Linked DNA regions of Elephas maximus indicus. The protein of the gene in region 3 interacts with the protein of the main gene of each other region in a pairwise test. Links are inferred from orthologs where the notes say so. Each region holds a gene or a part of one and is shown on either strand. Other genes may lie near its edges. The genes, in order: TBX22, TBX15, VENTX and DAB1.

Region 1 (7,151 bases), on a different chromosome or scaffold from region 3:
TGTTCAGCCCAGAGCCTTCAGTCCTCATCAAAGCACTTTAACCAACAAGGCTTCAACACCAGAATACCCCCAGGAACCTCGCTTGGTTCTGAGGCAGGGCTCATTTCAGAATGTTTCCAATCTCAACCCCGCGCCGCTGAGTGCAGCATTCCCAAGAGCCGTCTTGCAGCTGCAACGTGAGAAGCAAACAGCTTGTTCTGCTGTTTTCCGGCCGCGGTCCCAGCAGGCTCTTGAGCTGAGCCTTCTCCATTGCCCTCACACCCAGCATTGATTCCAGGCAGACTGTCTCACTGGAGGGCCTGGCACTGATCTATTGGTCTAGCACTCACAGCCACAATGCTGGCGACTCCCACACAATTGGAGCCCCAGAGTCAAAGGAGTCCCACAGACCAGTGCCTTTGCGCTGCCTGCCCAAACGGGCCTCTTGGATTCAGGGCAATTCAACCACTTTTCGTTTGCTCTAAACCAAGCGCTTAAATCTAGAGGAAAGAGTACTCCCACCCTCTGGGGCCCGGCGGCCAATTCAGGTGGAGAGGCTGGGGAAGAAAGAAATGACCCGCCCATGTGCGATAACTGCTGGACTGCTCTAGCCTTGAATGGCAAATTAGGGCATTGCTCCTGGCACCCGCTGGGGCCAGGGTGCCTCAGAAGCCCGGGCCCACAAGGAGCTTGGGGCATTTCTTCCCAAACTCCTCCAAACCGCTTTCCTCAAGGCCGCCTGAGCCCATCCCCCCACCCCCGCAGTTGGGACTGCAAAGGGAAGTAGTCAGCAGGCTAGAGACCTGGGGTACACTGAAGCTCCAATTCGGTGGCCGGTGTTACAGGAATGGGGGAGAAAGAGGAACAAGCCTACTCTTCCCTCAGTCCAAAACCCAGATTTGAGCAAGATTATTCAACTCCCAAAGCTCATGGGAAAGCAGCTCCCTCCCCCCTTGCTAGGATTTTCAAAATAGCTCTCTCTGATTGTGAGCCCCAATCCCCCTCCCCTGCCTGGTCTTGGGTACCTTCCTATGGCCCGGTTACCTATAGCGTTTGGAATCCACCGGCACCACGTCGATGGCCACATAATATTGCTTCCCTGGGTCCAACCCTTTTACCTTGACCCGAACAGAGGGAAACATCCGCCTGTGGAAGAGAACAGAGGGACTGACCAGGATGCTTTTAGAGACTTTTGGAGGGGGGCGGGATCAGAGAGAAATGCTGACTCCAATGAAAAGTGAAGGGATATCTTCCTATCCCAGGGCACGTTTAGGGAATTGCAATCGCTATAAGAGGAAAAATTGTTGGTTTGTATGTTTCATTGAACAAGTGCAAGATTTCTGAGTGTAGTAGAATATCCTTACTATAAAAAGAAACCCAGGTAAAGGCTTTGTCCAGCCACCCCTCATCCTACTATAGTAAAAAGTTAAAGAAGAGAAACTAGGAGAGGAAACAGTGTGCTGCATCTCCTTCTCCCCTCCCCCACTGTTCTGAAGTACTTTCTGTGAGGCAGATTTGGAAAAGGCTGAAATTAGGAAGACACACACACACACACATACACACAAATCACCCAGCTGCCACATGAAAGGGTGGCTGGGAGAAAGGCCCACCTCCAACCCCAGATGGAGGCCTAGGGGCCTGTGAGATAGGATATTATCCACTGGTAACTGTAAGGCTTTAAAGAGAGGCCTGACCACTGCCTAAGATGTGGGGTTGGCATCTGTCAAGTGCCTGTACAGATCTAATTTTAGTCATATACTGCACAGACAGAATAAGAGATACCCAGTGCTTGGAAAGGAAGGCTGAGCCGCTTACTTAAGCCAGGCAAGCCCTAGTCTGACTGCTTGAGGGGCAGTGGGTTTCTAATGCCTGCCCAGGCGGTGGGGAGTGGTGATGTAGGGTACTAAAGTGTAAAACTGGAGGCACTGCTTATCACGGGGTAGGTGGGGAGGTGGTACATTAAGCACCTACTGTGTGCATGGCTTGCCCCACAGCCCTTGAACAGCCTCGGTAGAGCCGAACCTGCCAGCCTTGGTAATGATCATCTCAGTCCCAATGTCATGGAACCTCTTCCACAGCTCGGATCCTTGAAGCTCCACTTGGATAGCATCTCTCTCTTCCACACTTTCGCTGCTGTTGCCGCTGCTGTTGCCGCTACCGTTGCCGCTGCTGCTGCTGCCGCCGCCGCCGCCACCACCACAGCCAGAGAATGCAGTTGCTGAGGGTTCTGCCTTGGGTCGCTTTTGTGCTGGACACAGAGACGCCAAGGGTTTGAGAGAGCTTTGCAGTTTGCACACCTCCTTGCTGGCGCCTGTATGGAGGCAGTCTGGCTTGTCCCTCCCTCAGAAATCCTAGCCATAGATACCCAACCTTCCTCCAGCATCCACTGGAGCCCCGGTAATGGAGAGAAAGGGGTAACATCGCACCCTGAGAAAGACGCAGCTCTTCTTCAGATTTGCCCATCCTCATTCTCCTGGAGAATTTCTGTCTCGGAGACTGGATCCTCCAGGGATCTGAGGACTTGCATTCATTCCTACCCCAAGGGGCAGCCACCCCTCTAGCTGTCTGGGCTTCTTGGAAGTCAGGGAGCCTCACTTCTCCGTAAGCATGTCGGAACCCTCTACCTCACCGCAAATGAACCTCAGAACTCCAGACTTTAGAGGCATAGAAATCTCCTCTGGAGCCAGGTGGTCTAGGTGTCCCCTGGCCCCTAATGTGGAAGCCCTGCTAGGCCAGGACATCCTGGTGCAGAGCAAGCTGTCCACCCGCAGCGCTGTGGGTCCGGCGGAGAGTGCCCTGAATCCAGCACGCGCAGCCGGTGAACTAAAGGCAGTGGGGCTGTGTGGGGTACTTACCAGACTGTTCACTCCTCTTGCCTGCCGCGCAGCACCTCCTCTCCTCCTTTCCACCCTCTTTTTCCTGAAAATTAGGCTGAAATTCTTCTCTTGGGTCTTGCAGTTTTCTTTTGCTTGGTCTCCCTACCAAGGCTTCCACTGAGAAGGCATGCGCCCGGGAGCTCAAAGCCATTCCTATAGAAAGCAAAGGGAAAGTGCACAGCGAAGTTTGAACCTCTGAGGGAGGGAGGAAGAGGGAGAAAGGGAGGGTGCGGGAGATAGGCGAGGAAAGGAAAACTGAAAAATCCCCAAATTAAAAAAACAAAACAAAACAAAAAATGATTCTGGGTATGGAGATGTACATATATATATACATATTTTTTTTCTTTCTTTCTTTGAATATACAGAATGAAAGGAGAGAAAGATCAAACTGGAACCTAACTTCTCCAGAGTCTCCTTTCCTTTTGCGGTCTCTTCCCTCCCAGTGGACATATGTGGACCATCAGTCCTCAAATCGCTGCTTCCAGGACCTGGCAGAGCTCACAGTGATCAGCAATCTAGGGCCTTTTAGGGAGCAGACCTGCCGCCAATAGCGGCCCAGGCCACTGGGATTGGGAGATAATGTTGCACCCAACTGAGTGAATACAGGCTGGTTGCAGCCTCCATTGTTTGTTTTGGAAACTATTGGAAGCATAAAAAACACCCTGAGTGACACTTCAGAGTCTGACTGAGGAGCGGGGCTGTGGAAAGGGAGGAGAAAGGAGGAGAGGGAGACAGCACTGACTATAATACAAGGTTACTGTTTTACATTAAATTGTAAAACTCAAAGACATGAGACATAATTGCCCCCTAGGGGCCACTTTTCTAACAAAAGTGCAAACATTATTTAAGCAGAACCAGAGAAGTGTATCTGGGCCTTTTGCTCTCCAGTAAAGTCACCAGGGAAAGGTAGAGCAGTTTTCTGGGCAGGTTTGCTCTGCAATAGGGGTTTCAAGCTGGATGTGAGGTAGTGCCAGTTTGTCCTCTTTGGATGCAGAGGCTCAGGGAGGGCAGACGGGACCCCCCCCCCAGGTGGTCACTGTCAAAGATCAGAGAGTACCTGGGCCTTCCAGGTCTGTTCCTGCTGGACCCCAATATTCATATACACAGACTTCTCATACTTACATGACTAATCAGCAAATACAATATAAGGACTCCAGGGCCACTAGCAAGGCACCAACAGGGCCTCTGACAACTTCAAAATGTTGGGCTCAAATGATTGATTCCAGTGTCTCCTGGAATATCTTTTTGGGCTGGGTCTTACTTTTCCTTAAATTAGATGAAGGCAAGTTCTTCCTATCAGATAGAGACTTGTCTACCACTTCCAAAAGCATTTCCGTGAGTTCAGACATGAGATATTTGCCTGTGTGCATGGGATTTGCTCACCCCTTTTCGTCAGAAATAAGAAATCAGATGCCTCAGGGCGTTTTGTAGACTGCATTTTCAGTAATGACCTGTGCACTTTTCCAGAAAGATTCTCCTGTTCTTATCTGGCACATTGAGGGCATTTAAAGCCAATTCAACTTCGTGTGAAATAGGATGGGACTTGAATTAATTGGCAGTGGCGTAGTGGTTAAGTGCTATGGCTGCTAACCAAAGGGTCGGCAGTTCAAATCTGCCCGGCGCTCCTTGGAAACTCTATGGGGCAGTTCTACTCTGTCCTATAGGGTCGCTATGAGTCGGAATCGACTCGACTGCACTGGGTTTGGTTTTATCTCTATATTGGAGTTTGAGATTTGTGTGGCCTTTTAATTTCAGTTACTTAGGTACAAGGGTGCCCTGCCTGTATTTTCTGTGTGATGAAGGTGGTAGTGGTGAGGGAGGAGGTCAACATTCAGCTGGTGCCTTGCAAGGAGCTCTTCAGGCAACTGGGCATGGCTTTAAGAACCCCAGAACTTTGATGATCTCACATATCATGGGGAAGTGTTAGTTATGACCTGAACGTTGTTGAAGGGTTTGATTCAATAACCAATTATCCACTGCTCACCATGCAGAGCTGGGAAAGGCACCATCCCTACCCTAGAGGGGCAGAGCAAAGCTCACAGGGCAAGGCCAACTCCAGTGTACAAGGCATGTGGGCTGGATAACAACTAGATCTGGATATAATCTTGGCCACATCTTCATGGGCATTTGTTTCCTTCTGAAGCCATTAAAAAAATGAAAATATTAATGCATTTGTCCATCTCCTCTTACTCAGAATATATATAGAATATATAATCTACATATAAAAAATCTACATATATATGTTCTATATATATATATATATATACATATATCCATTGCATGTTCTTAGCTTAAAGGTACAGCCCAGAAACAGAGAAGTCAAGATTTTACAAGTTAATTTTAGAACGTTAGTCACCATGTAGCACTTTCATTAGTGTCTCTTAATATAGGCATTTTCTTGTATTTAAACCCTGGCTCACTTTACTGCTAAAAGACAGGTACCTTTGATAACAAGGGGGGGGCTTTGCTTGGTAGGTTTTTTATTTGATTTAGTTTTTGCCAGATTTCTGCAAAAATAAGACAAAATATGGTTGGTGCAATATTTGTTCTAGTATTTCCAACTATGTTCTATATGATTTTTTTTTTTAAATCAAGGATATAGTAGTTCTTGGGATGAAAGTTCTTTTCTTAGAAGAAACTTCTTCCTCAATACTCAATATTCATTACACGCACGTAATTTAGACATCCAGGATTTTTTTTTTTTTTTGTAATCTAAACTTCCATTTCTGTTTCAATATCTATCTGATGTCATCATTGGGAGAAATGTAGCTCAGCCCTCCCTTATGCTAGACTGAGGTGTAGTTAATTCCTGTTAACTTGTATTTGAGAGAAAATTTATCACATGCCTCAGGACCAACTTTGCAATTTGTTCAACTGCTGAAGCACTGGGCTATCGGGTACTGGGGGCCTGAGGGACATACACTCATAAAAATACTAGCAATTAATTCTCTACAGTTAGATGTGTCTTTTCAACATTTTTGTCTGTTTGTTTCAGCCAAGGACACCTAGAAACCCTTATAAGAGACTCTTCAATGCATGGAGGGACAGTGGAACGTGCAGAGAGAGCTTCTGGGACCCACAGTTACCCAAATTAGAAGGATTTTTTTTTTAAGTTTGACAGTTGGAAAATCCTTAGAATCAGGTGTTGGCTTTGAACTTCCCCGAAAAAAGTTACAACTGGGACACAGTGAGGATTCACAACTGAAAGGAAAAATAATTTTGTGATTAACGCAAATCAAACCTATTCAGTATCTATGAGGATACAGAAGAGATGGAAGCACCTTAAGTGATATATTGTTTATTAGAGCTCTCGTGGAATCGAAACCTGAACCTACTTTAAGGACAGAGAAAGCAATTTGTATCTCTAATAAAAATCCCAATATTTTGTTAATGGCTAGAAATAGGCATGTATACTAATACATGCACTAAACAAAGTAGGCCCTGAAAATGCTGCTTCTGGTGATGTGTGTGAGCATGGAAATAGATGTTCAGAATTAAGTTAACATGTTTGGAAATGTTACTTTTATCAGAAATGTATGATTTATGTAAGGAGTAAAGACTCAGGGTCTTCCTAGCTTTCTATATAGGCAGTATAGGTTATTTGAAGAAAGTTTTATGTTTAATTAAAATGAGTAAGTCTGACTGGAGGAAAAAAATCCTTTGTATTCTGCAGTACTTACTAAATAAGGGGATAATTTCAAACTGATTCCAGTTCCTACTTTTAATTTGTGTGGAAAAGAATGAAACAAACGAAATTAAATAAATCAGTAAGCATTTCAAATATATATGTATATATGTATGTAAATATACATATATATGAAATACACATATATTAAAAAAAAAACAAACCCAGTGCCGTTGAGTCGATTCCAACTCATAGCGACCTTATAGGGCAGAGTAGAACTGCCCCATAGCGTTTCCAAGGAGTGCCGGGCGGATTCAAACTGCCGACCCTTTGTTTAGCAGCCGTAGCACTTAACCACTACACCACCAGGGTTTCCCTACACATATATATATGTGTATATATATATATGTGTATACGTATATATAGGTAGAGGCAAAATATACAAAATAAAATAAAATGTCTTGAGACTTGTTGAATGCATAGTGCCTGTTTTTGTCAGAGAAGCACAAGCAACTTCATGATAGAGACATTTTTCCCTTCAATTGTCATTTTTCTTTCTCTCCTTTGATCCTCATTCCTCACCACCCCCACCCCATGGTTAAGATATTTTGGCCTAGTTCCAAGTCTAAAATCTGCTGCTGGTGACCAGTTTTGTCATCACTTGGGAAAGG
Region 2 (7,831 bases), on a different chromosome or scaffold from region 3:
GGCTCCTGCGCAGACCTAGGCCAGCGAACAATAGCGCAATGTTGCCGCCCGCCGGGCCGGCTCTCCCGGGCACACCGTGGCGGCCGAAGGCGAGGAAACCGGGTGGCGCTTTTTTATAGTCACAAATATAAAATCGGGGCTTTCCCTCCTTTCTCTCGCCCCCTGCCCCAACGCCGATAGAAAGCAGATAAATTTATGAAGGGCGAGCTAAGAGAATAATTACAGGGTAAAGGCCGTTAAATTTTATTTCCAGTCCCAAAGGCAAAACCTGCCATTTTATTGCAAACATCTGGAAGGACCGAGAGGTGGGCACACTGCTGGTTTAAAATAAAAACAAAAGATTTTATTTCTCGAAAACAAAAAAACATCGTTAAAGACCCTTTTGCCCCCATGCACTTTCATTTGTAAAGCATGAAGGGGTGGTTGAATTGAATAGTCAACGACACGACGGTCTCACAGCTCCTGGGGACCCGAACGAACCGCGTTATCTCAAGCCGACAGGACTGGGCCCTCGCTGCCTCCAAGGAACTGGCAATTGGGCAAGGTTTCCAGAAATGGATTCCTTCCCACCCCCCACTACCCCTGCCCTCCACCCCCCCCCGCCCCTGCGTGAAGACTCCAAGACAGTTTTGCCTCCCCATTTCGTGGTCTTTTGTTGCTTTTGGGGCACCAATTTGGGAACAGAAGGAAAAAGGGGAAACGTCTGCCTCACATTCCTGGAAGATTGAATCACAACAATAATAAAACCTCTCTCCTGTCCAGTCTCAAACAGATTATCTTGCATGCGTTGCTTAGTTGTAGAGAATCCAGGATTCGTTCAGTCTGAAACAGGGAAACAGAGGCAAGGGGCTATTTTACTTGTCCAAGGTCAGTTTGGCCTCAGTGGGGCCTGGTCACCAGGCTTCACCTCTCCTTGGAGTTACTGGTGGTTACCCAAACCCAATAGTCTCCTCATAATGTTTTTTTTTTTTTTTTTACCCAGAAAAATGACCTGCCTAGACGGTGTGAAATCACTGCTATTCCCACCCACACAGGGTATCCTGCACATGTGTTTAGGGGCAGCCTAACCTGTTCCAATGGATAACCACTGTATTTTTAACATTGTTTTCAATTACCCACTCAAAACTCCAAAATCAAAGGCAGCTTTTATTTTTATCGTTATTTCAGCAATAATGGAGGTATTTAGGGTGGTATTGGGGATGAGGAAATAGGAGGGAAGGGCAGGTATGTGAAGTATGTGGGGCTCCATTTCTAGAAATGAGTGTTTGTGTTTATGACTCTTGTTCTACGATGCTCAGAGGCAGACTCTCTGTTGTTCCACTGAGAAATGAAAATACCTGGACTAGGATGGCACTGGGTTTAGGTCAGTTTCATGTGAGCAATCACTATGCTGCCAAGTCTAGGACTGACTGTCTTCTTGCCCCATATGTCCTAGAAGGTGATCAGTAAGGCTTCCTTGACACTCCCCCCTGCCCCCGCAACTTCCCAGTACCCCAACAGCCTTCTCTTGCTCTTTGGAGCCCTGCAAATAGGGTGGGGCATCTAGCCTGGTCCTTGTCAATCAACTTTAGACCCGAAATAGACCTGGAATAGACTGCCAGGCTATAGCCTCCAACCAAGTACAAGGCTAGAGTTTGTGGCTGGGAAACCAGGGAATTGCCTCAGGAATTAGCCTCATACATTGGGGACCCCACTCTTACTCCTAAAGGTTAAAGGAGAGGGAAACTGAGGAGGGGGCTGAGAGGAGACTTTGAAAGTTCTTTGATGCCATTAGTCAAAGGAAAATGAATACAACAATCCCAGCTTCTTACATTTAATCCCCCTAAATCCTCCCTTCTCCTCCCAACCACACACAGTTACACATCTAGGTCACACAAACAGTAAACCGTCCTGATTAATCTTTCTCCAGACTTCCTGCCCCATCAGTACAGAGTCACACACCAAGGCATGCATTCTTTGGGAAAAACTTAAATTGACAGATACAGAGTCACAAAAAGATTTTCCTGCCCCTCTCGGTTACCTAGGGTAAAAGAACCCTAATTTCATGACTTACATTTGGCTTCTCTGGGGTCAGATTGGTTTCAGTGACTTAACCCACAATTCCAGAATATGTGTGTATATGAGATGGGGTGGTGGAACCTATGTGTAAACTGAAGGAAGGGTGCAGGAACTCCAAGAGCTCACAGGTCTGGAGCGTTTGGGTGGGGTGTCCTTGAAGGCATTGCTCATGCCTCTGTGTGCGTCTGTGGGTCATGTTCATGGACACCTACATCGTGCACCCCTCTGGGCCTGCATTTAGGTGCGTGGGTAACCAAAAAGTCTTCTTTTTTAGTAACTTTCTTGGCCCCAGGGAGAGTGTGTGGCCTATAGTGTGTCCACTTCTCAAACCAAACCAGGCCTCTGGGAGAGTGTGAAGGCTAGACAGCCAGTGGGAGATATAGGCGATGGGGCAGAGGAAAGAGCCGGGGAAGGCTAGAAGCAGGCCTCTTCCCTACCCCACCGCGCCTGGTCCGGGACAGCTGTGCGGAAGAACGCCCGGCGACGCTAGAGTTGGGAGAGAGGTCTGAGGCGCCAGGGAAGGGAACTGCGCGCTCCGGCCCTGCCATGTCTCCAGCGTTTTTGCTGAACGTCTGTAGGGGTGAACGCAGTCACTTTCCGCAAGAATCCTACAAGCAATGCCGAGCGATGGCTGAAGTGAGAAACTATGCGCCTTGCCGCTCAGGCTCCCAGAGTTCGCCCGGCAGCGCGTGGGAGGCGCTGGGGGCCCAGTGCCCAGCTGTCAGCTCCCCAAGGTTCTTGGACGTGTTCCCCAGGGACCCTCAAGCCAGAGACACAGGCTCCAGGAAGACCCAGGAGGCCCAGGCCTGGCTCAATCCCATTCACCTTGTGGCTAGCTTCCTGTCGTCGGGGCTGGGGTCCAATTTGAGGGACCCCAAAATGGCCTTTCTGCCTTCCTCTCTTGGGCTGAAGAGGCTCCAGGAGCATTCACGACCCTTAGTCGTGGCCTTCAGCACCGGCGCGCTTCCAGCTACAGCAGGGGCTACATTTTTTTCGGGCCCCTAGGTGGTCAAGCCAAGAGCTCTGCGTTTCAGAGACCCGACGGGCCCGTCTCTCCTCGCCCCTGGGTAGGAGGACGGGTGGGCGCTCGTTCTTGGTGGCCTCTGGCTCGGCATGGGTGCCCTCTGTCCCTTATGGCTTCACAGCCTGTCAGCGTGACAAGTCTGCTCGGCCGCTGGGTCCCTCGCTCATCCCCCTCCCCTGCCCCCCGGGGTCCATTTCTTTCCAGCCTCTACAAAAGAGGATCGAAACGTCTAGATCAGGACCTTAGAACGGCAAGATCAGGCTGTGGTAGGTCGTGGTCGGCGAAATCCGTGACATTTTCCCAGCTTGGATGGGGGGGGGGTCTGAGCGTGCTCGAACCAAGGCTGCGCTCAGGGTCTCCTGCCGCCAGATTCGGAACCCGGGGAGAGGGTGTGGGAAATAAGAAGGTGTAGCAGTGTTGGATATTAAGTTCCTGATGAATACACTGTCCTGTAAAAAAAAAAAAATTAAGGAAGGGTGTCAGCAGGGCAGGGAGAGCCGAGGACTCCTGAGGTAAACGGGGTTGAAGGAAAGAAAAAGCGCCCTCTCCACTGTCAAGGCTGCCCGCCCAGGGCCGCTCCGCAACAAACGCCGGGAGAAGGCGAAGGGCGGCCCACAGCAGCGCGTCCGCGCCACAGGGAAGGCGAGTGTTTTCTGGGTGCCGGCCCATCCGGGACACGCCTGTGGAGCGCGCGGTAAGCCTGGCGCCGCCACCGCCGGCCTCTGGCTCGAGGGCGCCAGCGTCTCCTCCTCCATCAGGTAGCGCTGGAGGGAGGAAGCGATCTTTGGATTTTCGATTACAAGACCCTGGATAGTAACGGATTTTTGGGGGGTTGCTTCGTTTCGTTTTGCCTTAAGCACAGTTGTTTAGAAAACGCTCAACAGAAATGTAAGAGCCTGTGTGGTGGGGGAAACTGGGGCGAAACCAGCAGATCTAAAAACACTGGGGGGTAGGCAAGATTATAAAGGTCGTTTTCTGACATTTTTGGACAGGTTAACATAGTCAGAGCCCAAAACCTTCAGATCTGCCTAAAAATGACTGGACTTGCAGAGTCTCTAAGATCCAGCAGATTTAGGAGGAAGAGGTAAGGATTTAGGATTTGCAGAAGTTTGTAACAGCGCAGATCCGACGTTGGCTTTCATTCTCCCTCCCTGGCCCCCTCCCCCGCCCCCAGGAGTCCATCAGGGACCGGGAAGCCAGGGGTTAAGGTCGGCCCAGGAGCGTCGCTGGGACGCTGGAGCGCAGAGCCTTGGCCGGAGCCTCAGTCTCTCCCCTCCTCTCATTGGCCTGCGCTCTCAGGGTTTCTCTTGTTCCCTCCTCGCCATTGGTCAGGGCTGGGTTTTTTTCCCCTCGGTCTTTCTCTTCCACCCCCCTCCCTCTCCCTTGCCCCTCGGACTGGAGCTCACTGACTGCCCCCAGCTCCTCGGGAAGGGAGGAATTTAGGGGGGAAAAAAAAAAAAGTTTCCCAGAAGTTTGGATCCAAGGGGACGGAAAGACCGAGAGAGGAAGAGGGAGAGGGAGGAGAGAAAAAGAGAGGGAGGAGAGAGAGAATAAAAAAAAAGATGAAGTTCAGTCGGCACAGCCTGTGAGCGCCTGCCCGGGTGGGTGGGAAGCGGGACTCCAGCGCTCATGCGGCGCGCGGGCGGCGCTCCCGGCGCTTGTTCCTAGCGGCAGGGGCAGCTGGGGGCGCCTGTCCGAGCCGGCGGCGGAGGGCGGGGGAGGGCACAGGAGGAGGGTGCAGAGGACCTGCGGCGCTGACGCCTCGGCCTCGGCCGCCGCGCCGCCGCCTTTCCGGGGCTCAGCCCGGCAGGCGCTCGGAGCGTGAGGGCGCAGGCTGCTGAGGAGTAGCGGAGCGAGCGGGGGCCGGGGTGCGGGCGGCTAAAATGAGTGAAAGGAGAAGATCTGCAGTCGCCCTGAGCTCGCGAGCACATGCCTTCTCAGTTGAAGCCTTGATCGGCTCGAATAAAAAGCGGAAACTGCGAGACTGGGAGGAGAAGGGGCTGGACCTGTCCATGGAGGCGCTGAGCCCCGCGGGCCCTCTCGGAGACACCGAGGACGCGGCCGCGCACTGCCTGGAGCCCCACCCGGGTGAGTGCGTCGGGCTGGACCGCCGGAGGCGGGCGGACTGGGGACTAGGGGCGGCCAGCCAGCTGCCAGCCGGCGGGCGGAGTGGCGAGGAGGGAGGCCCTGAGTGCTCAAGCCCTGCACTGCTCCAGCGCGGGTTCCCTTTTCTTCTTGCAAATACCTTGAATCTCCCTGAATTCGCCGGAACCAATTTAGGGGACAGGTCTGAGCCTTGCATTTTCGTCGCCAACGTCAAGCGTGGAGGCCTGTTGGTACCCGCAGCTAAAAAGCAGCTAGGCCCCTGGGGGTTAGGAGGGGCGTGGGTCGAAGGCAAAGGCGGGGAACGAGGGGAGCCGAGACTTACTTCCTCGAGTTCCTGCCTGACTGGCGCGGTTTTCCGGCCCGACACCTCTGTCTCAAGAAATGCCCACTTTGTGCCATTTAGCTTCGAGCCTGGGTCCTTGCCCTTCCCCCACCAACTTTTTTCTGGGATTCAAGTTGTTGTGTTTCCCCTGTTCCCGGAGACAGGGAGCATAATTGTATTTCTAGTCTGTTGGGGTTTGTGGAAACAAGAATGGATGTTAGACTCTCATTCCGTGCCTTGAGTCATTCTTCAGGACCCACATCGCTGTGTGTATTTGGGGAGCCGAACATGCGATTAATTTTTGTCTCCGATCTCTGCGCGTTCTGTGCATATTATGTACACACAACACATAAAACATAGGGCAGATATAGATGTCTGTATTTTAATAGGACCTTGGGAGGGGGCAATTTAACGTTGGTATTAAGTGCCAAGATTTCAACTGTGCAAAACAGCCTGAGGAAGCAGCTGTTGTTGGAAGAATCTTGCGCGCGCACACACACAACGCTTGCGGCTTGCTTTGGCGGCTTCAGAAACGTTCCAGCTCGGGCTTCTAAAACTACACTGGAGGTGCTCCTGCCCACCAGCCAGGGCTGGGGAGTAGACTACGATCCTGGCGCGGACAAGCCCGGGGAGTGGGTAGCGTCCTGCATAGTGGCGGAGCGGCCGCAGGCCCGAGAGCTTCTGGACAACTCGGGATCCCGGCCGGAAAGCCGGCCGGCCCGAGGAGGGACAGCTGTCGCTTACATTTTCTCTTTAGGCAGTGACAGTTCAATTTCCATGCTCCTGAGGCTAATAATAACGCGATTAGCGGGTGACCTGCAGAGACAGGGTTTTATGAATTCTCCGTGTTCTTGTGGCCCGTTACGGTGTTTGGGTTTAGTGTTGGGGAATTATTTTTATTAGTCGATGAAAAGAAAATTAAAAGGAGATTTATTTCGTCAGCTCAAGTCTTCCCCTGTATTTGGATGCGAGTGCCTGACCACGCAGAACTCTGCGTGGGCAATCCAGAAAGAAACGCGTGGCGAATGTGTATTTCCCTTCTTTCACCAGACCCCATTTCCTCACCGCATTTATCTGTTGTCAAAACCTCACTAGGTTTTACACACTCAGTGGACATTCCTTCAGGCCTTAGGACAAATCACGATTTAGGAGGGTCGTTTATTTTCTCGACGGTAGAAACGGTAGAAGTTATTTAGCTTCGCGTGGCAGTCGTTCTGTCCGCGAGAACGTTTCTCTTGGGAGGCCCTAGGTCGCCCAGAGCCCCTCTGGGGTCTCATGTTCAAAAGAGCCAACAGCGGGGTCATAATCAGGGACTCAGCAAAAAGTTTTCTCTCTGTTGTTCTTGGAAGAAGTTAAGTGAAGGGGCTCAGGGCAAGGAGAGACCAGTCCAGGGGTATAAACGCGGATTCTAATCTCCGGAATCCTCTTCACACGCTCCCACTGGGTGATAGGGTGGAGGACCTGACATAGAAGAACCTTACGTAACAGAGAGTTCTGTTCCCATTACCAATTAAAAACAGAACAAAACAGACCCGTCGCTGTCGAGTCCATTCCGACCCATAGCGACCCCATGACTTAAAAAAAAAAAAAAATTTTTTCTTTTAAGGCAAAGTTGGGCTTTTGGATTAGAGAGAAAACGAAATATTTTGTGGCGCAAGGGCCCGGGAGCAGGGAGAAGCCTAAAGCCGAGAGCATTCGTGGGCCTTTTGCGGAGCCCGGCTATGGTCCAGGCCTGGAGGAGCCATGGGCCGAGGAGGATCCCCAAGTTGGTGCCCCACAGTGGCCGAAGCTTTCTTACGAGCCTGGACGCAGATCGAGAAAAGATCTTTAAGGGAAAGGGTGCAGTAGCGTAGAGAGTTGCCTGTCTCAGGAGCAGAGGAGGCGGAGCTGCTGGATCCTTCCCTGACAGCGCGTTGCACCCGGGCTTGGGGGTCCCCTTTAGGCCTTTTTTCCTTTTCTCCTCTAATGCAGCACCCTAACAAACACAAGGCCCCATTTAAAGGTGTGTATATGGGGGAGGGGGGCCGCAGGCGACCCCATCGAGGCTGCGTCTCAGCCCGGTTGGGCCTCGAGATTTTGTTTAAACTGGCTTCTCTCCGTTAGGGCTGCTATGGGATTGGAGTCGCCGCGTGCCTCTCTTGCCCTAGGCCGATAACCAGACAGGAACAGGAGAAATACAACAAAAACAAAACTGCCACGGGACTGGGGAGGGATTAAGCACAAACGGGCACATATACACAGGACACACACTTAGAGCAACTGTATTTAGCATTCTCATCAGCTCTCTGACTCGTACCCCCAGTTTTCAGCCCGCACTGACT
Region 3 (7,093 bases):
CTCCATTACAAAGGCACCCAAACCTCAAAGCTGTAAATGTAGAGCCTCACTTGCTTCTCACGGTTCACGGACTTCGTCTCTGCAGACCAAGCTGATCCGCACGCAGAATGAGGACCCTCCTTTCTTTTTTTCCAACAGGAAAACCAGTTTTTTCCAACACCTTTTATTGAATAAATTATCCATTTACCATATGCTAAAACCCCATGCGTAACACATCCATTTTGGCCTTTGATTCTGCTCCCTGACCCATCAGTTACCCCCTATGCTGACCCTTTCGGTAGTTTTCAGCGAAGGGGTGGCATTAAAATGTCTCCAGCTGTAAAACTCTGGAGTCTTAAGGTGGTCAGGGTAGGGACTCACCATGAATCATCGTACACACACAAGGCCCGCCATGTGGGAGGCGGCTGTGATGAAAAGGACAGTTAGTGTCTGTTCAGGGCAATGGCAGACCTTGCACACACCTCCTGGGGATGGGCGAAGCATCCACTTTCGGGGCTGCCAGCCTCCTCAAAAGGCACCCTCGGTTTCAGGTAGATCACACAGGCCCCAGGAGCCCCTGGATGAGGCCTGCGCCAACAAGCGCGCCTGGCCCCCAGGCTCTGGGAGGTAGTGTGTCTGAGATTGCCTGCTGCAGGGATTCCATGCAGAGGCCATCAAGACCTGCTCTACTGGGCAGGGACCCCAGAAGGAGCCCAGAGGCAGCAAAACAGCTGGGGCGGCAGGCAGGGGTGCCCCACGGTAAAACAGCTGCAAGCCACTACCCAGGACAGGAGACGGTGGATGGATGGCCAGGGGCCCGTAGAGGGGTCCAGAGAAGGGGACACTGAGCTGTGAGTCCTGCAACTGGCGTTTGTGTTTCATTCTACGATTCTGAAACCAAGTTTTTATCTGTGGGAAACAAACCAGGCAGGGGTGAGAACAGACCGCCCCCGTTCACCCAGCCTCCCCTCCCCCCCCCCATGGCCTACTCACCTGCACCTCAGTCAGGTGCATCTCTTTGGCCAGCTTCTTCCGCTCCTGGGGGCCCAGGTACTGGTGAAGCTTGAAGGCGCTCTCCAGGGTGCTGATCTGAGCTGTAGTGAAGGCCGTACGCACCCGGGGAGCCCGCAAAGGGTCTGGCTCCTTGTTCAGCCCTGGAACGGGAAGATGGGTGAGAGTCTACCCACCTGGGACATGCTCCCCGCTATGTGAAAGTTGCCCTGAGCTTCGGGGTTACTTAGGCAGCAGACGCAGCGGCCAAAGGTGGATGGGCAGCCCCTGTGTCCCTGAAGCAGGGGCAGCTCCAGTTTCTCTCCTTACTCCACCATTCCAATATCCTGCTCAGTCTCCCAGCTCAAGGGTGGAGGGGGTCCAGAGCAGGACATGTGTATTGGAGGAAGGAGACAAAGGTTAGAGTGGTTTGGGCTGAGAGGGGCAGTCCTGGTGCAGATTCCACCAGCCAGTGCCCCAACCTAGAGCCACCCTCACTCACATCCCTCCAGAAAGCAATTTCTTTTCCCTGCAGCCAATTCACCAGATGAGGACAGATGGGGCAGAGCAAGAGGGACTTTCCGGGGAGGGTCCACTACGTACAAAAGCCTGGGGCACCCAGAGAGCCAAGGGGAGGTCAACCTTTCTCATCGACTTGTTCACATTTGGATTTAGTCGGGAGCCAAGGCAGACACCCATTAACCTGGACCTGCTGTGGGTCTTTGCAATAAATATTTCACTTCACCCAAGTATGAAATTATTCCAAACGAATCACTCAAACTTTAAAAAAAAATTAAAAATCATAGATACCAATCTCATTGTTGACCAAGTAGGACTTTAAACCTAAAAACAATGGATTAAATTACAATGGACTAGAAAACAAACAGCAAAAAATCTTGTCAGCACATGACAAAGGGTTAGATAAGGATTATGGAGCCGCTGGCCAGGCCCCCAGGCGAGACTCCCAGGCACAGAAATGCAAAGGTGGCCTCTTGGTCTGCAGCCCAGCCCCAGCGGCCACTTCAATCACACCCATGGAGCATTCTTAAAATGCCAAGATTCCAGGTCTGCTGAGAACGGGCTCAAGTTTGGAGCCAAGTGAAGACCCCCTTCATTTTGGGGGTCAACGATGACCTCTCTGCATTGGCCAGTCTCACAGCTTTAGAAGCAACGGTCTTTCCCAGTGACCCGGGTCTCAAGGGCTCAGTGTAGAGCTTGAGGACCACATGCACAAAGACACCAGAGCCACCGTGCGTGACAGGCATAGCTGGGAGACAAGCTGCCCTCTGGGTGTGGGGTGGGGTAATTTCACGAGGACAAGTTACTGGAGTGCCCTCGGGCAGCAGGCCTGGGCTGGACGTAGCTGGGAACTGGGAAGATGCTGTGGCTGGCAGAGGGCCGAGGCAGGGCAGGGCTTGCAGGGCTGGTACCATAGAGGTGCCTGCAGGTGGCTTCCCTCTGAGGGGAAGCGCTCGCTCGCTCACTTGCTCGCTCACTCACTCACTCACAAGGGGACATCATCACTGCCCTGTAAAAACCACCGAGTGGACAGGGTGTGTTCGTGTGTTCCTTGCCTTGCAAGAACCTCCCCAACGCCCACTCCGATCTGGGAAGGACTTTCCCCTTCAAGACCTACCAGCCACAGGTGTCCCTCGCACACGCAGATCTGGGGTCTTAGCCCCATCGATGGCCATGTTCTGAGGGGGCTCCCCTCTGCTGGGCACCCAGACGGGGGCAGTTAAGCCCCTCCAAGAGACCTCGCTGGGCCTGGACGTGCATATTGGCCCCGAGTGGCTGCTCTGGGCTAGCCAGTCCACGGAGAAGAAACTGGAGTGTGGTTTGTGGCCCTGGTGCAGGTCGGAGGAGGGAGGCATGGCCGGTCAGGCGGAGGATTTGCCGAGGACTGGATAAGTGACGGGGCTACTCAGAGGATCCCCCGAAGGCCAGGGGACCACGCAGAACACTCACAGAGGGCCAGACAAAGAAGATCCCCCAGGGCCGGGGGGCCACGCAGAGGATGAGAGTGGAGCTGGACCGGTGAGCCGGGCTGGGCACAGGATCCACTGTGGGCAGATGGGGCCGGGGGGCCACACAGAAAATGGAAGAGGATTGGACACGTTGGCCAGGCCCAGCACAGGATCTGCCTGGGGCTGAGGAGGGCCGGGCTGAGTTTATAAACGAGGGTGGGGGGGTGGTGGGGGGGAGAAGGGTCGGTTTGCTTAGGAGGCTGCAAATCCCCCAGATAAGGAGTACCTAATTGCCTTCATTGAGAAGCACAAAGGAGGCCATTCACACCTCCCTCGGCTCCAAGATGTCTGGGGGAGGGCGGGGCTGCTGCCCAGCCCGCTGAGGGTTTGGGGACCTGTTACATCCTTTCATCTGCCCTAGCCGTGAGGAAGGGGAGGAGTGGCTGCCTCCTATAGGGCCGCCCAGCCCCCGCTTGCCCCGAGCGGCGCTAAGCGGTGGGGGCAGGAAGTTCTGCTTCTCCAGCCCCCCTCCCCAGCTGGGACTGCAGGGCGGCTGGGGGGAGATGACAGAGGTTTCAGTTTGGAAGAGGTGCCCCGCTGACCGAGGAGAAGGCAAGCACGGCTCTGTGTCCGCTCGCCGGCTGTCTGGCTGGGGAGGGAAGGACCCCTGTGGCTCCGGCTGGCCCTCCCTCGGCGCCGACTCGCGCCGCCCTAGCCCGGGCCATAGGCCTGGCCCCACCGCAGGGGCTAACTCGGTGCTAGTGGCGCCGCCTTCGGATCTGCCACGCCTGCGCAGCAGGGAGGGCGGGTTACTGGCCCCGGTGCGGACGGCTCCCCGGGGTAAGGGGGCGCCGGGCCACCGCGCTCTGCCGCGGTCCCGACCTCTGCTTTAGCCACGCGGCCGCTCCCCAGGTAGCAGGCCGCCCCGCGTGTCCCCGCCTTGCTGTGCTAGCCGACACTCCTTGTGGGAGACAGGCCACGTAGGCCTCCCCCATCCCAGCCCGCCCCCGGCGACTGCTTCACTCCGAACTCTCCTGCGTCCACGTTCCGGGCGCCGCGCTGGCCTGGGGAAAGCGGACGGCAAAATCGCCGCCGCCCGAGAGAGGCGACAACGCAGCCAGCGGGGTCCAGCGCGGTGGGCGCCCATTGCCTCGCTCTCCCCGCTATTCCCCCATCACTAGCTTCTCTCTGCTCCTTCCTGCCGGCTTCCCGCCCCCAACCTGTGCCGGGGGTGGGGGTGGGGGTTGCCTTCCCTGGACCTCTATCCCGTGACCCCTGCTGGATCGCATCTGTTGCTCCCCGACGATGGCCACGGCGAGGCAATGCCTCGGGAGCCCGCCGGGAGCGGCCCTGGGTGCACCTCAGGGCGCACGGAGTCCTGGGGCGCTCGTACTGCTGCTCCTCCCCCCTCCCCCCACCAGCGGACGTAAGCAGTGTGTCCTCCACACCCACTCACCTGGTGGATAGCAAAGGCCCTCGGTACTCCCCTGGCCATACACCCTCAACCTCCACCCCCGGAGCCTGTCGGGCTACAGGGGAGAGGGAAAAAAACGAGGTCTGGGAGCCCGCTGGTCGCCCTGGTCAGGCCCCCCATTTGGGCCTTCCTCAGGGGCCTTGGCCGCCCAGCCTTTGGTCACTGCTTCTGCAGGGGTGCGCTGGGGAAGGCTTGGACCTGCCTCTGGGAGGGAGGTCTGAGAGGCTCTGAGGGTAGCAGCCCCCCTCCCCGCAATAATTGCTCAATGTGCACTGAACAGGCTAGAGAAGCACAGGTAAAAAGGAACACTTGTTGAACATTTTTGCCATGTTCAAAAGCACTTATTACATGAAAACAGCACATACCACACTTTCTGAAACTCGGTCAACGTTCATTTCTCTAAGGGCCAGCGTTTCTTGGCCCCTTGGCCCCCGTGCCTGTAGAGCCAGCTCTACCAAGTGATGCCCGTGAGGGGGGGTGTGGGGTTCTGGTGCTCCTCTGACACTGCTCCTGCTTCCACCTTCCTACCTGTGCACCTGAGGTCCTAGCCCCTCCTTGCTCTCTGGCAAACACCTTCATTTGCCTAAACTGGCCACCTGCCCTGAACAGAGGGAAGAAATTTGCTCAAGGGTCCCACCTCAGTCTGCAGGTACCCTCAGGTCTACTCAGCGGGGTCTGGGGGCCTCTCCTGACTGAGCTCCCCACAATCTCTTACCATCAGGGTGGTCTCCTGTCACCCCATCAGCACTCCTCATCACAGTCCCCCCTTGCCTCCACACATACCCTGGGTGTTCCCTTCTCCCCACGAGCTGATGGCCAAGGCCTGTTTGCTTACTTGGCCTCCCAGCAGTGTCGTGGACTGACCGGGCCCTCCCCTGCCCAGCTCCTGGGCCCCCTTGCACCAGTGTTCTACTGCTCTAGGCCCCTTTGCCCACCATTCCTCCAAATGATTAAATGTAGGCTGGAAAATTAAAAAAACAAACATAGGCTGGAGCCTTTGCTCCACAGACGCAGACCTCCTTGCCCGGATAGCAGCTCAGACCTGGTGGCTTCAGCCCAGACCCATCTCCTGAACCCCACACCTGCACACTGGTGTGGGCTCCACAGAGCCTGCCGGAGCCATGTTTCAGCAGGGTGACGGCTGAGCCCAGCCTCCCACTCGCAATGTGTGATGATGCCTGCACTGGGGAGGGGTGAGCCCTGGGCTTCAGGCCTCCCTAACTAATCCCCGCTCTACTCCCCCTGGCTCCACAGACACCTTCTCAAATTGTGTTCATGATTTGGAAGCAACTCCCACCCCTAATATACAACACTTCTAAAGTCAGACTTCCCACTCAAACCTTTTCTTCCCAGGGGCCTGTCCTCCATCCATCCAGGTGCCCCCTGGACACCTCACTCTACAACCCCTTCTCCACATTGACTGGCTGTACCACTGCCCACCCTGCCCTTCTCACTTCAGCCCACAGCTGTGTGCCCCCATCATCACTGGGGAGGGGGTGGGTCTTGCTTCTCCCTCCTGCTGCAGGTCAGGTTCTCTCCTTCACGCTCCCCTCCACACCCCCACTTCCCCTCATGGCCTTCCTCCCCTTCCCTTAGGCTCCACTCCTTGTTCCAGGGCTCCCTGACTCCTTTGTCCTCCTCCTGAAATGACACAATCTGAGTGTGTAGGGGAGCAACGTATGGACAACCCCAACCCGGCTGGGCTGAGACTCTGTGAAGAGATGACCCGGTGGGTTGAAGGGTCTCAAATTCTGAAAGGGTGAGTGGGATGAGGCGGAGCCCACGCAGCCCACCTGTGCGGGAAGCTTCGGGCTGGACCTTAGAGTGGATCCTGGGGTGACCTGTCTACCTCACTGGGTTTCCTGTCTGCTGAGTGAGGTCCCAGGCTCAGGCCTTCTGTTCTGGGGGGAAGCATCAGGAACCCGTCCCACCTCAGCCCCATTAGGCCCCACTTCTGCCCATCCTCTGAGGCTGCAAGGATGCAGGCTTGGGGACACCTCCCTCCCCCTTCACTGGGGGCTGGCAGGGAGGCTGGGCCCCGGGGACCAAACCTAAGGGGTCTTGGGGGAGGTGGGAATGGTCTGGGAAGCTAGGAGATGCTAGAGGACACAACCCAACCAGCTGACGGGGCCACAGGAGAGGAGTGAGGCAGGAGGGTCCTGTCCAGCCTGCCTGAGGTTAGAATCCACTTTCCAGGTAAACAGGACACACTTCAAATACTGCCCCACAGTACACAGCAAGCCCCCCATGAACTCCCTTGGGATTTGGGAACATTTAAAACACCATCTATTGGTGGGACACTATGTAGGAGACATCACAGTGAGAGGAATGGATATAAAAGAGGCTACACTTGGGAGATAAACAAGCCAAGTCCCTGGGTGGTGCAAACGGGCAACGTGCTTGGCCGTCAACTGGAAGGCTGAAGTTTGAGTCCACCCAGAGGTGCCTTGCAAGAAAGCCCTGGTTACTTCCAAAAAATCAGCCACTGAAAACCCTATAGAGCAGTTCTACTCTGACACACACGGGGCTGCCAGGTGTGTCAGAGCAGAACTTTGTTTTGTGTTTTTCTTTTTAGTTTTGAACTTAGTTACTTCAGTTCCATTTTCAGGGATAAATGTGGACATCAGAGGGCACACAGACAGCAGGACCAATGAAAGAAGAGAAAGAAACGTAGCTTGTCCTG
Region 4 (7,279 bases), on a different chromosome or scaffold from region 3:
TAAGCCCATTGTTGCAGCCACTGTGTCAGTCCATCTCGTTCAGGGTCTTCCTCTTTTTCACTGACCCTCTACTTTACCAAGTATGATGTTCTTTTCCACAGACTGGTCCCTCCTGATAGCATGTCCATAGGACATAAGACAAAGTCTCACCATCCTCTCTTCTAAGGAGCATTCTGGCTGTACTTAATTTGTACTACTATTAGGATTTATGATTTCTGACATTTGGTTTTGCACTCTATGATGGGTCATTCTCAAACAGCACTTACCTGAACTGCCCCTCTGAGTATCTTGAGAAGCATGTGCACAGGGATGGATTATGTAAAGTTCAGTAAAGCCCTTTTTCTCTCATCTGCATGCTACTCATGCCCATGTCCTTTATGCAATTGACTCTGAGCTTCTCAGAGACAGGATCTGTTTCTGATTTATCATCATTTTTCACAGTGCCTAGTATGGTGCCTGATACATAGAACATACTCCATAAATGCTGTTCAATTAAAATGAACGATTTCGGAATTATTCTGGAAAGAGAACCAGTGTTTACTGGGTGATTTTTTCAGTACTACACTTATCCAAGAGGCTATCTCATTTAAGGCTCACAGCAATCTCATGAAGCAGGTATTATTCTCCCTATTGGTGGCACAGTGGTTTACATGTTTGGCTGCTAACCAAAGGTCAGCAGTTAGAATCTACCAGCTGCTCCATGGAAACCCTACGGGACAGTTCTACTCTGTCCTATAGGGTCTCGACAGCCTTTTTTTTGGGGGGGGGTGGTGATTGTAGAGTTGAGAAGTTTGAAATTAAGAGAGGTAACTTACCAAAGACAACTCAGGAGCATCGGATTCCAAAGTCTATATTCTATCCACTACCTACCAATAAGAGTAGGACCTCCTTCACTCAGCTGTTGTGAAGGTTAGATGAGTCAATATATGAAAAATACCCAGAATGGTGCCTGGAAAATAATAAGCAATATGTACATCTTTGCTGTTATTCTTCTTATTATTTTGCTGTTTCTCAGAGTAGGTAATAAAGAACTATTTATTGATTTTTCATTTTGCCATACGTCATACAAATGACATTGCTATTAAAAAAAAAAAAAAGAACAAAGGAAAAAACACCCTAGCTTTTAGATGAATTGTTTCTTGACATCTTTAGAAAATAATAACTTAAAATATCACTTAAAAATTTGGTTCAGTTTTTTTCTAAAAGACCATTTGGCCCTTGCTGGGCAGCTTGTGAGCAGTTAGCACCTATATATTATGCTTTCTTCCAGCCTGGACTTGGAAACAGCTCTGGCTTGTTGCCCCTGTCAGATTTCATGGGCGTTTGCCCAGTATCCATGCTGGACTTTGTCTAACACTGAATATAGAGTTTTGCATGAGATTCTTCCCTTTATAGTCCTTAACCAAAACCAAAACCAAACCCAGTGCTGTCGAGTCAATTCTGACTCATAGCTACCCTCTGGGACAGAGTAGAACTGCCCCATAGAGTTTCCAAGGAGCTCCTGGTGGATTCGAACTGCCTACCCTTTGGTTAGCAGCTGTAGCACTTAACCGCTACGCCACCAGGGTTTACCTTTATAGTCCTTAGCCAACTCAGTATCACACATTTCCTTCAAAGTCTGTCATCATAACATCAATTTAAATCAGGACAAGGTGGAAGGCAGGTAAAGGGGACAACTCACACATGCAGGCCTTGTATGTGGGGTCCCTGGGTGCGGGGGCGGAATAAGCGAGGTATGCATGGGCTTACGTTAAGCAAGGCAGGCTTACTTGTGTTTACTGACTAATCCGTAGCGCATAATTTCACCACATCTGGTGAAATTATGCACTGAGGATTAATAAGTAAACACAAATAAACCCACGCGTACCTTGTTTATTGGGTAATCCGTCCCTGCTTGGGTGGTACAAAGGTTAACACACTTGACTGCTAATCAGAAGGTTGGACATTCAATTCCAAGCAGAGGTGCTTTGAAGAAAGGCCTGGCGATCTACTTCCCAAAACTCAGCCATTGAAAACCCTATGGAGCACAGTTCTACTCTGACACACATGGGGTTGCCATGAGTCAGAACTGATACTAGTATTATCAACTGGTACTAGATCAGTCAACTGGTACTCGTATAACCTGTTGCCATCAAGTCAGTTTTGACTCATAGTGACCCTACAGGGCAGTGTAGAACCACTGCACAGGGTTTCCAAGGCTCTAGGTTAGCAGATGAATGGTTAACCACTGCGCCACCAGGGCTCTGGTAGGTACTAGTATAATAAATAATTTCATGTTCCCCAGCTGCCCTCAAAGCACTGAGAAACCTTGGAGTGTTTCTTAGTAGAGTCAATGAAAAGTTGGAGCTATGTTCCCTCTCCCAAGATTTGACATTTGTCCCAACCACCTGAGGTACTTAATGATTTTCTTTACCTCCCTCCCCATTTCAGCCATATCTTGTCTGATTTGTCCATGTCCCCTCAATTCTTCCTGTTGCATTCAGCTTCCCATGGTCTGTCTTTGTGGATGAGGAAACTGATGAATTTTGTTAATAGAATTGCCTAGCAAGCTTCAACTTCCTACTTAATGAATCTCAAGTGTTACTTTAGAATTAAATTCCCTAGGATTTTGGAAGAGTTTGAGAGATTTGAGCCTGTTTCCTGGGACCCCACTGTCCACGGTCACAAACAGAAGTAGACAGGAACAGAGTTAATATCAGGGATGGCACCCTTCCCCCCACCTTGTTGGGAGTTTCTTCTGATCAACTCTTTCCCCAAGATTGCATCTTGCCAGTGACCTCACAATTTTTTCTTGTCTCTATGTAAATGGCTATCTTTTCAGGAGGTGCATGACAGCCTCCATTTGCATGGGCCTCCATTTATACAGAAGCTGTTATTACGGAATGAGTTTAATGGGTCGTGAATTTTGTGGAGAAAGGGAGGGTCTCTCGGTGACTTTGTATGTACCAGCCACAGACCTATTGACTCCACGAGAAGTGCATTAGGCTAAATATTTTTAGCCCATTGACTCTGGAGGTAATAACCCTAAATGCTTCATTAAATTTTCATGGGTGAGCAACAGCAGCTGGGGGGGGGGGGGAAGAAAAACAAAACCAAAACAGCACGTTAGCTTTATTATTACACAGCTGGAGGACAGGAGTGTGGCCCCTAAAAAGTGGAGAAATAAACTTTTCAAGAAACTGTTGTCTGCCTTTTCCTTTCCACCTCCCCGCCCTGCTATGACAGGACAGCACTTGATTTGATTTTTCTCCCCTGCATCTGGCTTCTGGAAACTGGGGTGCCACAAGAGGCATTTGCTGGAGTTGAATCCAGTCTCAGGATAGGAGAATTTTCGAACTCTCAAAATACGTTCTGCGATTTGGAGTTCCTAGGATCTTTGGAAGTGAGGACCTGAACTAGGGAACGCCTGAGTGTACTCGCTGGATTATTCTCCTGCGCAGATTGTGTTCACTGATCTAATCTTAGGATTGTTCACTCGCAGGCATTCTAAGAATGAAAAGAGTGAAGGTTGAAGGGCGTGGACCCCTCCCAGGGACTGATGAAAACCTGACAGATGCCAGCTTTTTCCCTTATAGCCAAACTTTGCCACCGAAACCTCAGGTACTGCAAGAGCGCTGAGCCAGGGTTGGCCGCTGGGAACGAGCGTCCCCTCTTGCAAAGGTGCGTGGGGGCAACACACCGTCTAGGAACCTCCCTGGGTTTTTTTCCGCTCACTGGCACTCTTTATATTTCCAAAGGTGAATGTTGGAGGCTTGGATAAAAGAGAAGACCCATGAGAAACATGAGGGATGCCGGGCGGGGGCTGCTGCTGGTGGTGGGATAACGGCGAAAACACTGGATACTTTGTGAAAGTGGAGTCTGATGGCTTTTTACCCCTCCTCCGCGCCGCCGCAACTGGGGCGGGGACCCTGTGCTCGCTGCTCGGCTCTCCCCCTTCCCGCCGGGATGAGGAGTAAGCGCTGGGGCTCCAGAGGCGCGACTGCGAGCCGCGGCGCCCCCGCTCGCTCGCTCTTGCTCTTCCTGGTCGTCACCGAGACTCGGCTAAGCTCTCGGAGTGCGCTCGGGAGGCGCAGAGAGCGCCTCAGTGGGAGCGGGAGCCGTGAGGCCAGGGGAGGGGCGCGCCGGGCGGCTACGCGGGCGGCAGCGGGGGAGCGAGCAGGTGAGTCGCGTCGCTGGGCGCCGGGCCGGCGCGGGGGCCGCGGGAGGAGGCGGGTCTGCGCGCATGGCGGTCTCCTCCCCCTGCTCTGACGCCGGGCCCACGGCTCCCAGGAGGATGGACCCAGCTCCGCGCTCGCCGGGGCTTCCCCGGGCTGGAGAGCGCGCCTGAGTCCCGTCGCCCGCCGGGCATGGGGAGCCCCTTCCTGGGCGGCTGCGGCAGCGGAGGAGGATGCTCTGGGCGAGCCGAGGTGAGGCGCGGGGAGGGCACGCGGCAGTCGGAGTTCAGCGCTGGCAGGTGGCCTGCGGGTACACATCGCCGGGACGCGGGGATGGCTCCGCCGGGGTTCCGGCTCCGGGAGGCGCGCCCCTCTCGGGAGTTTGGCGTGGGGCTCTGCTGGGATTGCGACTGCAGCAGTTTTCTGCTCGCTCCTTCCACTTCCTGGGGGCGGGGGTGAGGGGAGCGGAGGAGAAAGGGGAGACCTTTGCGCCTTCCTCTTGGGTCCTCCCTATCTCTCTACTTGTGACCACTCGCGATTGTCTCTCCAGACTTGTCCATCGAAGACACTTGGTTCTCCCTGGGACCCACTGCGCTCATTCCTGCGTCCCCGGGTCCATCTACCCACAAGCTTTCCTTCTTCCACTTCAGGATCTGCCCTGTGGTCCCGGGCGCTTCTCCCTGCCTCGCTAGCGGCGCTCGCCGTCGGGACTTTCTTCTCGCCCGAGCCCTGATCTTACTTCCCTACTCGCCGGAGCGCTGCGGTTCTGTTCTGAACTATCTGGTAGACGGATGTTTCCCAGTAACCGCAGCCCTTTTGCTGACACTGTCAGCTTGGTCTCGCTTCCCCTCTGACCCTAGCCTTCCCCGAGTCCTTCAGCGACTCAGTTCTGACCCGCCTCGCCTCACTTCCACTCCCCGGGCTTCCTGCTACCCGAGGTCTCCCCACGCCTTCGCTCCCCTTTTCCTTCTCTCTGCTCTGGACTCAACGCTCTGCCTCGGACGTAGAGCTCGGTTTTTTTTTTTCCTTCTTCTTCTTCTTTTCCTACTGGGGAAACTTTAAATCACCGTGGTTCGGCTCATAAAGGAGCCACAAAACGGGGTCTCAACCGCCGAGAGAACCAGAAGTCAGGGAGTTAGAGCTGGGGGAGATGATACCGCGGCGTCAGAAAGGGGCCATTGGCCAAGTGGACGGAGTAAATTTGAAAACCAGGGTGGCTGCTGCAGCCGGGACTCTCTCCTCCCCCGCTGGCTCTATCCTGCAGAGTGTTAATTGTGACCCCTGGTGGGAGGGCGCGTTTATTTTCCGCACTTTTTAAGGCTCTTTGTGTGTGTGTCTCTGGTGAACTGGGATGGGGGTGCAGGGGATCACGAGAGAAAGCTGCCCCGCGAAGCTGGTGACACTTGTCTCCTGCGTTGCCCCCTCCCGGACTTGCCAGATTGTGTATGTTTCACTCTGTGTAAACTACCGCCCACCCCAACTGCATTACACAAGTCCTCATTGTTGGGGGTCTGCCTGGGCACTTCCGCCTTGGCTGGGTGAGTGAAGGAATGGGGCGGGGGTGGGGAGACCAGGGACGCTGGGCGACCACGGTCGGGCTCTCGCTGGAGGCTCGGCGTGGGCGAAGTGCGCCGCGGCGCGGGTGTCTGTCCGCTTGGGTGTGTGCCGACGAGGGTGGGGTGCGTGCCTGCGTGGGTCCGAGCCTGCGTGTGCCTTTGGATGCCGACACACGCCTGTGTTGAGCCAAATTAGAAAGAGGGGCGAGTCCAGAGCGTGATGAAGCGAGAGCGCCTTTCAGCGTCCCGGAGCTGGCCGAGCGAGTCCTCCAGCGCCAGGGAGGCTACAATGCGTCTCCTGGCGAGCCTTCGGGGATCGGAGGAAGAATTCTCGCTGTTGCTTCTCCCTCCTGCCTGCTCCCCTCCCGCTGGCCCGTTAGACACCCTTTCACAATGTTGGTGGTTTTGAATAAAGGCCTTGTGGGGGTTCCACTGGCACTTTATAACGCTTAACATGTTTTCAAGTAATCATATAAATTAAAGGTGGCTTACGTTCAGAACCCCATAATTACCCGGTTCACGTTTGTACATTTATGTGCCAATTATAGGTCTTCGGGAAATGCATAAAATTATAAACTATCCCCACCCCCTGAATTAGCACCCATTGTTTTTATTATCTCAGCGATGAGTGATTCTGGTTGGAACCCTAAACTGCTCAGTCAAGAAGATAGAAGGGGGAGGGGGAGACGAGAGGTTGGATGGGGTTAGGAACGTTTTCCCCCATCTCTTTCACTCCCTGTCTGGAAGAGGTTTGGTGACAATTCTGAAAACTAAAAGGGATCAAAGATTTATTTTATTTCCTATTGAGAAGGGCTACTGAATCAAAGGTATATAAAAGTCAACTTCCAGGCAATCAAAATTGTCTGCTGATATCGTTGATTGAAACCCCAGCATTCAAATGGAGCATTGAAGAACTCAGAGAAATGGCTTTTGAAGCACTATTGTTCTTTGCCATACACAGAGGCCTGTTAGAGGTTTTGGAAGTTCAAAATGCAGTGATTTGAAAAGATTGACATTGTAACTATTAGGCAAAGATGGGAGGATCTGCAGGGCTGAGAGAAGAGACTGAGGTGGGAAGCGCAAACACGTTGTTACTATCTCCTTGAGAACAAGTGCCACTATCAAGTAGAAATTCAGTCCTACACAGCAAGTTGGCAATTAAATCTCTTCCTAAAGCAGATTTAGACGATGATTTTTAGTGGATTTTTTTTTTTTTGGTGGTTTGCTTAAGGTCTGAATAGGCATATCTGAAACATTTAATCATGTTCATTGTATTCAACAATAAAATCTGAATAAAAATTACTTATTGTTGATGAAGCTCATCGCACAAGCTGTTTCACAGTATGTTTCATTTGCAAGGCTTACCATTGTGTGAGGCTGCTGGGAAGAGATCGTATCACTTATTGTTCATTTTCTCCTCCAAAAGCCAGAGAAGAATGTGCTTTTTCGCTTCTCTTTACCCTCCAAAGTCATTTTTTTTTCTCAAATGGGTGGGTGTTTGGCTTGGCACCTGACAGTACCCAACTTAAAAATTGCATTTGGTGGCTTTCTGATGCCTTGAGCCACCAT

What was found.
Region 1: the proteins of VENTX (region 3) and TBX22 interact in binary tests that used the Homo sapiens proteins (3 or more experiments, as listed by UniProt). The two-hybrid records come from large-scale screens. The link is inferred for Elephas maximus indicus from reciprocal best matches to the Homo sapiens genes VENTX and TBX22.
Region 2: the proteins of VENTX (region 3) and TBX15 interact in binary tests that used the Homo sapiens proteins (3 or more experiments, as listed by UniProt). The two-hybrid records come from large-scale screens. The link is inferred for Elephas maximus indicus from reciprocal best matches to the Homo sapiens genes VENTX and TBX15.
Region 4: the proteins of VENTX (region 3) and DAB1 interact in binary tests that used the Homo sapiens proteins (3 or more experiments, as listed by UniProt). The two-hybrid records come from large-scale screens. The link is inferred for Elephas maximus indicus from reciprocal best matches to the Homo sapiens genes VENTX and DAB1.

The regions. Positions count from the first base shown.
Region 1 is NC_064846.1:87,274,441-87,281,591, forward strand, and holds the start of TBX22 (T-box transcription factor TBX22), read right to left. Parts: upstream 3,007-7,151; coding exon 2,835-3,006; intron 2,228-2,834; coding exon 2,002-2,227; intron 1,126-2,001; coding exon 1,024-1,125; intron 1-1,023. UniProt on the Homo sapiens protein: Probable transcriptional regulator involved in developmental processes. This is major determinant crucial to palatogenesis.
Region 2 is NC_064821.1:160,479,994-160,487,824, forward strand, and holds the start of TBX15 (T-box transcription factor TBX15), read left to right. Parts: upstream 1-4,827; 5' UTR 4,828-4,965; coding exon 4,966-5,170; intron 5,171-7,831. UniProt on the Homo sapiens protein: Probable transcriptional regulator involved in the development of the skeleton of the limb, vertebral column and head. Acts by controlling the number of mesenchymal precursor cells and chondrocytes.
Region 3 is NC_064834.1:82,821,142-82,828,234, reverse strand, and holds VENTX (homeobox protein VENTX), read right to left. Parts: upstream 2,844-7,093; coding exon 2,606-2,843; intron 1,134-2,605; coding exon 973-1,133; intron 889-972; coding exon 508-888; downstream 1-507. UniProt on the Homo sapiens protein: May be involved in ventralization.
Region 4 is NC_064821.1:101,487,946-101,495,224, reverse strand, and holds the start of DAB1 (disabled homolog 1), read left to right. Parts: upstream 1-4,264; 5' UTR 4,265-4,406; intron 4,407-7,279. UniProt on the Homo sapiens protein: Signaling adapter of the reelin-mediated signaling pathway, which regulates the migration and differentiation of postmitotic neurons during brain development.